Canis lupus familiaris: one gene and its partner. The protein of the gene in region 2 purifies or fractionates together with the protein of the main gene of each other region. This does not show direct contact. Links are inferred from orthologs where the notes say so. Each region holds a gene or a part of one and is shown on either strand. Other genes may lie near its edges. The genes, in order: RASA1 and PDGFRB.

Region 1 (4,266 bases), on a different chromosome or scaffold from region 2:
TCTGCCTCCCTCTGCCTGTGTCTCTGCCTCTCTCTCTCTCTCTCTCTCTCTCTGTGACTATCATAAATAAATAAAAATAAAAAAAAATTAAAAAAAGGAATTCATAGAAAAGATCTGAACTTCATCTCTAAACCTACTTAACCTGATGGAAACCTTTATGAAGTCATAATTCTTAATATAGCTAACCATGGTAGCTAGACCTCTGGAGTACGAACCATTGCCTAAAGTAACTATCAGTGAGGGAGTTCCCTGTACCAATAGAATCAGTAGGCAATTTAATGGCAATAAAATATTACTGTTACTTTGGCATACTATTTACTGAACACTTACTATGTGCCAAGCACTGTGCTGACTGAATACTTCAGGGTTCTCATTAAATCTTAAAAACGATGCTATGACGGAGGTACCATTATTATCCCCATTCTACAGATGGGGAAACTGACCTTTCCAAGATCACACAGTTATAAGTGGTAGAGTCAGGATTCCAACCCAAATCTTGTCTAACTTCAGAATTTGCACCCTTAAACACTACACTGTATTGCCTCCAGTGACTCTGGTTTGATATCTAAGATAAAGAAAAGAGGGTAATTTGTACTCCTCAGTGACAAATTTAAAAAACATACTTGAAATGGAGGATACTTTTCAGAACATTTACGATTCTCATATATACAGTCATGCAAGTATTATTTTTATTCCCAAATATATATTAATGATGATGGAAACCTCACACAATAGACTTCTAAAAATTTTTCCAAATACTCCTTCATGTTTATCCTGAAAAATCTAATGGGAACACTATATTTTCTGCCCAGTTTTGCTGTGAACCTAAAACCATTCCACAAAATCACTTTTTTAAAAAAATTTATAACTACAATATACAAATATGCCTAATATAACTCAGTTACAAACACTGGCAAAAGACTGCCTTCTTTCAGTATGAAAAGTTGCACTTTATTATAACCCTAGTGCTGAGCATGGAGTGATGTAGTGAGCGCTTAAATATTTACTGATTCTTTCAAAAAGGCTTGAAGGTGTGTAAACAGTGCTGTAAAATTCAAATTTTTCACACTCCCAGAACACCTTCAGAGGTCTATAAAACAAACACATAACATGGTAAGTTGGAATAAAGTTAGACAAAAAAATTAAACTCTTACTGAGCAGTATACCACGGCTGACACAAATCAGGCTACTTTTACCTTTCCCCCTTAAATATCAAAAGATGTAGCCCTAGGTTAAGAATGGATTATCACAGAATCTTTTTCTAATCATTTTCTAAGTCCTTTCTAAATCCTCCAAAGCTTATCCAAAACAAACAAATACTTTCAATTGTCCAGAGTGAATGTCATCATATGAACCAAATATTTTTTCCTCTGATACACCAAGGCTGTCGAAATTCTAAAGGTCAGATAATAACTGATGTGAAGGATCCGTAAGAACGGTTTTGCCATCTATTACCCCTTCCCAGTAACACTCTCCTCTCATCAAGGTCCACCTTTACAAACACACACCTATGTTCACTTATGGAGGGAACAAGGGGAAGGTACTCACCGTGTGAAAAAAGCCATTTGCCCTAAATGCCCTGCAATATACCGTCGCAACTGATTGCCAAATGGAACACTGCACTGGCCACCAACAAAGTATTGAAGTATTGACAATTTTACTTGAGAACTGTGCTTACAAAGCCTCAACTATAAAAAGATCAGGCTGTTATCAATAAATGGGAATTTCACGGCCTACGTCACAGACCCCGTAAGAGGAGAGAGACCCTTCACCACACCTGTAATTCGCAGAACTCCTTTCCTTTCTCGCCGACCCACATCTTCAGGAGAGACCCGAAGACTTTTCTGCATCGCTCTGCCTCCGAAAGGCTGGGGATGCACAGCACCACAAAGGCAAAGCCTTCTGACCGGTGCATGTTTAAAATGGTCATCAATACCATACTCCTTGGAATACTTGCATACCCAAAGCCTTATGACTAAGGATAACCTGACTTCAACAGGGAATGCACGCACAGGCTGAGAGAGACTCTACGGCCCGGGCAGCTGCAAGCTCAGCTGAGCCCCGGGGACGCAACCTCGGCTTGGAAAAGGCAGCACCGTATCCGGTTCCCGATGGATACACATGCCCCCCCTCCCCCCCCTCCCCCCCCACTCTCCATGCTTTCCTAGCTCAAAAACTTCACTTCTTCCCAGGGTCTAACCAGAAAGATGCAAAAGACGCCGAAGGCAGCGTGCACGCCCTCAGGGAAGAGGAGCGATCCAATCAAGTCCCGACGCACGCCAACCCCGAAGGCTCCAAACTTTTTCACCAACGGATCGCAACTGCAAGAAAAGCTGCAGGTCCCAGGGGTTCGCACTTGTGCCCAGGAGCCGGCGTCCCCGGGCCCGGGACGGCTGCGTGCACTTACTGGTTAGTCGGAGGCGCGGTCAGGGGGATGGCCACCTCTTCCTCCTCGTATTCGGGTCCATCCAGGGAGTCCCCTTCGTCCACGGTTCCCAGGCCGGCGGCGCCCAGGGCGGGCAGCTGAGGCGGCGGCGGCAGCGGGGGGAAGGCGCCGCCCGCCCCGAAGGTGTCCGCAGCCAGCGAAGCGGTGCCCTTGGCGAGGGCCGGCTCTCCCCCGGCCCCGGCGGCCCCGGCCCCGGCCCCTCCCCCTGACAGTCCGGCTCCCCCCACGGCTCCCGCCCCCGGCCCGGCGCCCAGCGCGGCCCCGCCGGCCTCCGGCAGCCCGGAGCAGGCGACGGCTGGCACGGGCAGCGCGCCGGGCATCCTCACCCTGCACGCCGCCGGGCAGGCGCTCGAGCCCGCGGCCGCGCCGCCCCCCGCCGCCCCCGCCGCCCCCGGGCCGCCCTCCTCGCTGCCGCCCTCGGCCGCCATCATGTTGAAGCCCGCTCCGCTCTCCGCTCTACGCTCGCCCGGGAGCCCCGGGGGCCAGCAGGCCCGGGCTCCCAGCCGCCCCACCCGGGCGCGTCCCCCTGGCGGCTCCCCGGGCGGAGGAAACGACAACAAAAGGACCGAGCCCGCCGCCGCGCCCCCTCCTCGGGCCACAGCCCAGGCTCCGGAGCGGCCCGGGTTACGGGAAGCCGAGTGGGCAAAAAACCTACCGCCGGCACCAACGCCAACCCGCACCTTCAGCCTGCACACCCACACTCACACACATGCACACTAGTGAGAAACTTCCTGGCCGCGCCAGAGAGGAAGGGAAGCACAGAGGAAGCGGCTGGCGCGGCTGCCGCCCGCTCGGCCGCCGCCGCCGCTTCACCACCCCAGTTCCGGCCACCCCCACCGCAGCCACCGCCGGTGCCGCTGCTGGGGCCCGGGCCGCGGCGGCCGCTGCATCCTCCGCGGGGCTGGAGGCGGGAGGGGTGGGGAGAGGAGAGGAGAGGAGAGGAGAGGAGAGGAGAGGAAGGGGCGGGGGGCGGGGAAGCGGGCCGAGCGGCTGCCGACCTGGAGCGCTCGCGGAAACCGACTAGAGAGAGAGGGAGAGAGAGAGAGAGAGAGAGAAAGGAAGGCGGGGCGCCGGAGGAGGAGCCGGCCGCGGGAGGAAGGGCGGGGAGCAGGGCCGGGGCGGCTTGTGCGCAGGCGCGGCCCTGGCGCGGGGGCGGCCGCGCTGCTGGGCCCGAGGGAAGGAAGCGGCGGGGGCGCGCGGTGCGGGGGACCGGCCGCGGGGGGGCGCCCGCCCCGTCCCCGCCCCGCCCCGCCCCGGGTCAGCGTGCGCCGCGGAGGGGCGGGCCGAGGGCTGGGGGGCCCGGCTCCGCGAACGCGGCGGGGACGCTGCAGGGGAGGGGGCAGCGCCGAGGAAGACGGCAAGGAAGATGCCGCGGAGCCGGGGCCCTGCTTCCTGCTGGTGGAAAATAACGCCTTTAGGAAGCGGCGCTGCCGGGGCCCGGGGCCGAGGGGGAGTGGCAGGGCTATCGATTTGTTTGATTTTCGTCGCATACTAGAAATCACTATATGACTATTCCGTGTTTTATTTTATTTTATTTTTAAGGTTTTATTTGTTCACTCATGAGAGACAGAGACACACAGGCAGAGGGAGCAGCAGGCTCCACGCAGGGAGCCCGATGCAGGACTCGATCCCAGGACCCCGGGGTCACGCCCTGGGCCGAAGGCAGGCGCTAAACCGCTGAGCCACCCGGGGATCCCCCACTACGTATTTAAAAAAAAAAAATTCAAACTACGTTCTGAAACTCAAGAGAAGTAAAGGAAATAGATAAGGGGAGCCTTACGGGGTGGGGGGGGCTAAGAATTTTGGTAGAAATAGTGGCA
Region 2 (4,504 bases):
GAAGCCCCAAGGAATGACAGCAGTGAACTTCACAGTAATGGATGGGAAGTACAACGAAAGTGCTCAGGGATTGCGGGTCCCTGTCATCTCACCCTGCCCACACTGCTCCCAGGCTGAGCGGCTGTGAAATCTGCCGCTGGGAGGCCCCCAGGGAGGCCTGTGGAAGACAGTGGAGGAAGATGTCCCCCCATGCCGAGGGCCCACTGCCCACAGGGTTCTGAAACATGTGCAGGGAAGTAAGATGGGCATGGCAGGCACTTCAGGGCAGTCTAGGGACCCTCTCATTCCTTCCTCCCTCCCCACCACACTCAGCAGCCCATCCTGAGCAAAAACCCCAAGTGCCCTCCTCCAGTCCAGAAGGTCTCAGAGCCAGACCATGCCTGGAAGGTGGAGGTAGGCCTTTAGACTGGTCCCTTCCAGGGGCATAGCTCTTGGTGAGGCATAGACTAACTTCACTGCCGAGTCCTGTTCAGGACGGAGGGAGGCCAGTGGGCCTCTCTCAGCCAATGGCCTTTGGGTCCAGCCCTGAGAAGTGCAAGATCTACTACGCACCTTTATCAATATTATCCTCACGGAGACTACATGCCTCCCTGCTGCCTACAGAGGAGGGGGCCGATGCCAAGAGAGACAGAGCACTGGCCCAGGGTCACACAGCCAGGCAGGAGCCAACTAGGGAATAATACACAGTCCTCTGATGCCCAGACCTGATGTTCTTTACCCCAGTGCCCAACACCTTCCAGATGTGGATACAGCCCAGAAAAAAAGGATCCGGGGACCCGAGTTGGCAACATAGCGGACTTGAGTTGAGCCAGGGCAAACGCCAGGTCTCCTGACTCTGAATCTGCGGGGCTTTCCGCTGTCCCACATCTGGGGGCAATTACAAATCTCAGCTCCTCTTCCCACAGAGGAGGGAGGGCTGTCCCATCACCACTAAAGGGAAGGTGCTGGCCAGATGGTCCTCCTTCCTCACTTAGGACCTGGCCAGACTTCGGGTAGACCCAGTGCAGGCGGAGCCTGCCGCCGAAGGTGCTGGAGCCAGGAACGGCCTCAGTGGGAGAATGGAGACTCCCTGCCTTCTGCCCTGGGGCTCCCTGGGTAGCCAGGGGGTAAGTCTTCAGTTTCAAGTAGACTTTGGCCTAAGTACCAACTCTACTAACTATGTGACACTGGGAAAATCACATAGCCTCTCTGAGCCTTGGCTTCCTGGTCTGCAACACAGGGGTAACGACAATACAGATTCCCAAGAGCTGCTGTGGGGGTGACAAGGTGTGTGGGGTCTCGGCTCTGTGCCTGGCACAGTGAAAGCACTCCATGGCGGTGACCCACACAGCAGCACTATGGATCCGGAGCTACGGATCCGGGGCTACGGATCCGGGGCCTGCTGCAAGGAGGCAGGGGAGGACCGCATGACCTCAGATATCTCCCTAGAGGCCTCCTGCATTCTGGGATGGCAGACAGGCAGGGACACTCCTCCCTGTTTGACATAGAAAAATGCAGTCTGGAGGAACAGCGTGCTGTTCTGGAAGGGCACCTGAGGGAAGGGTGGGGCTTGGTTCTGGTCTCACATTTGGGAACAGCAAGTCTTCAGTGAGCCCCTCCTACCTTTTGCCAGCACATTTTCTGTTTCACTGCCTGCCTGTCTGCATATGTTGGGGACGGAAAACAAGATGGGGTCACTTGGGGCCCAAATGATCTCTGATGTGCACACAGAGCACAAACAGGAAGAGAAGGCCAAGCAACAAGGCAAAGGGCATGGCAAGCACTTGGAAGACTGGAAGGACCCCGGAAGGCTGCCTGGAGGAGGGGGAGGTAGGGCATTCCCTCCATTTTCCTTCACGGAAAATGAGGAGGGGCATTCTCACAGGCAAGATTGTGCATACTCCTCCTGGGGACCCTGGGATCTGACTGGCGGGAACACAAGGACCAAGTTTGGAGAAATGCGGCAGGGAGCTTATTATCTCCCCAAGCTCTGCCAGTTACTAGCACCGTGATACAGTTTTGTAGCTGCTGTGAACCTCACGCGTAAAACCAACATAAAATCCATCCCTGCCTCTGGAGCCGCTGGTGAGTTACGTGAGATCATGCTCATAAAGCTCTCCGCACAGTCCTGGCATGCAGTAAGTGTCAATCAGTGGCAGCTACTATTAGGAGTTGGGGCTTTCTATAGGGGAGACTCAAAGAAGGAATCGTGATCAGATTCATGTTTTAGGATGGAGTGAAAGCAGCGTCGGAAGGAGGGAGACAGCGAGGCGGCTTGAGCAGCTGCCTGGGTCCAGAGGGAAGGGCCCAGCAACCGACTCCCCCTTCTTTCCAGAGGGGCCCCTACATCTGACGGCGGATCCCAGGCCCCCAGCCCCACAGCCCCGACTGTGAGACTGTGACTGCTAGGCTAGGCCTGCCACAGCCCCCTTGCCTTCGCACTTTCCCAGCCACTGGGGGTTTGGAAGGACATCTTAGGAATCTGGAAAATTTGCAAATCCATTTAAATCCCCAGAGGTTGCCTGGCGGCCGACTGGCCTAGAGCCAGACAGATTCTTAAGGACAAGGCTTGGGCCCAGAGACAGGGGCCATGGCTCTGAAGTCCCCTATCCCCTGCTAGATCTCCATTCCGTGCACCCTCCTTGCTGCCTCCCAATTCCCCTCTCGAGCTCCTGCCAGCTTTCCCCGGCCCTCTCAGGCGGTTCTATGTTTTGGAGGCCCTCAGTCTGCACCCAGAAACCTCTGGGGTTCATTTGGCAAAAGCAGGGGACAGCAGGGCTATGGAGACCGGCTGGGCCACCCACCCCAGAAGCAGCCTGAGCAGGAGAAGAGAAAACTGGCTCCTCCAGCCCTGACGTCGCCCACAGCCTCCCAGCTTCTTCCCATCTGGTTTTGTTAAAAATATTTTCCATTTTTTGACCTACCCAAGAAGGCACAGACTGGAGCAAGGGGACAGGACAAGGGGCTGGGGATCCCCCTTCTCCCAGCACTTACCTTGCTGCTGATGCCTTCGGGGGTGGGCACAGTCCTGAGCTCTGGGCTGTCACCCCCTCCAGGAAGTCCTCCTCGCTGACCTCTCATTAACAGAAAGACTTTGCTGGACTCCCCAACGGGGCCACGGCTGGGTCGCAGAGCAGGGAAGACAGCCTAATCTCCGGGCCCTGGGAGCCTCAGGAGGATGGAGAGAGTGGGGGGCTGCAGGGGTGAGTGAGGAGTGGCCTCACTGCCAAAGCATCCTTCTGGAGGAGCAGGGCTGCCAGGAGGGGCCGCCCTGGGTCTGGCCCTCTGCGCTGCAGGGCACAGGCTGCTGCCCCCAGCTGCTGGTCAGGGGGGCCGGGTCCTCTCCGTGCCGTCCTCCTGCCCTCTGCCTCCAACTTGTTCGCAGAGGGATCCTGGATCCCAGACGGGATGGGCAGGGACTGCGGGCGCTGGCAGCCCGGGAGCTCACACCACTGTGGGCTTCCCTGCCCTCCCCCTGCTTTGGGGGAAAGGCTGCAGGGCCGCCTCTGATTGGCTCAGCCGGGAGCAGGGGGGCGAGGGGGCGGGGAAGGTGGACGCGTGTGTCTGTTTTCAATTTCAGTTTCTTCCCCCTCTTTCTTTTCCCCCAAGTTTCTTGTTTTTCTTCCTTTTTTCCCTCTGCTTGCTCTCTCCGTCGCCTGCTCTCTCAGGATGTGAGGGGATGTTTAGAAATTCCGCAGCCCACGCCAACCGCTGAGTCACTTTTATTAAAAAGTGGTCCGGCCCCACCTCTCTGATGCCCTGCCGCGCAGCACCTGGGGCCGACTCCCTTGTCTGTGCCTCAGTTTCCACATCCATAAGGGCAGCTCTGAGCACCTATATGATTGATTCAGGCAACATCCGTTTATTGAACAAGCATGTGCTAGACACCATGCGGGGTGCTGGAGGTGGTAGTGAGCAACACACAGTCCCTGACTCCAGGGCTGCCCTGGCTAGTGGAGACACAGGAGGCACAGGGAGGTACCCTGAGGAATAGCAGGGGGGCTGAGAGTGCATTTAGAGGGGCAACTAACTGAGGCTTTGGGATTATCAGTCGCTGTCACAAGAAGAAACCCAAGGCTCAGGTGTGAATTGGCACAGAGAGGGAAAGAGACCTGGCGATGTCACCCGGTGTACTTGGGATTTCCAAACACATTCCTTCCTGTCATCTCGCTGTCCCTCAAGTACCAGGAAAGGGTTATTTCCCCATTTTATAGACAATGAAACAGAAGCCCAGAGAAGAGGAATGAGCTTCCCAAGCTCCCACAAGCAATGGCAGAACTGGAGTGGAATCAGGTCTCCCGAGTTCCATGACAGAACAGACACAGGTGACCTGACCCCGGGGCAAGACTCCCATTGCAGAGCAGACTGGGCCTCCTGCCCCGCCTTCTTCCAGGGTTATCCTTTTCTCTGCATCTCATTCAGTCACCCAACACATATTTTCGAGTACCTGCTAATGTCCCCTTTCCAGCCTCTTGCCCTCCCTTCCCTGCTAGGGTCTGTCAAGGCTTCTCCAAAACCTGGCTGG

The links.
Region 1: the proteins of PDGFRB (region 2) and RASA1 purify together in Homo sapiens (co-immunoprecipitation; 5 studies listed by BioGRID and IntAct, with this or other methods). This does not show direct contact. The link is inferred for Canis lupus familiaris from reciprocal best matches to the Homo sapiens genes PDGFRB and RASA1.

What each region holds. Positions count from the first base shown.
Region 1 is NC_049224.1:21,307,673-21,311,938, forward strand, and holds the start of RASA1 (ras GTPase-activating protein 1), read right to left. Parts: upstream 2,878-4,266; coding exon 2,408-2,877; intron 1-2,407. UniProt on the Homo sapiens protein: Inhibitory regulator of the Ras-cyclic AMP pathway. Stimulates the GTPase of normal but not oncogenic Ras p21; this stimulation may be further increased in the presence of NCK1.
Region 2 is NC_049225.1:59,839,783-59,844,286, reverse strand, and holds the start of PDGFRB (platelet-derived growth factor receptor beta precursor), read right to left. Parts: upstream 3,018-4,504; 5' UTR 2,974-3,017; intron 1-2,973. UniProt on the Homo sapiens protein: Tyrosine-protein kinase that acts as a cell-surface receptor for homodimeric PDGFB and PDGFD and for heterodimers formed by PDGFA and PDGFB, and plays an essential role in the regulation of embryonic development, cell proliferation, survival, differentiation, chemotaxis and migration.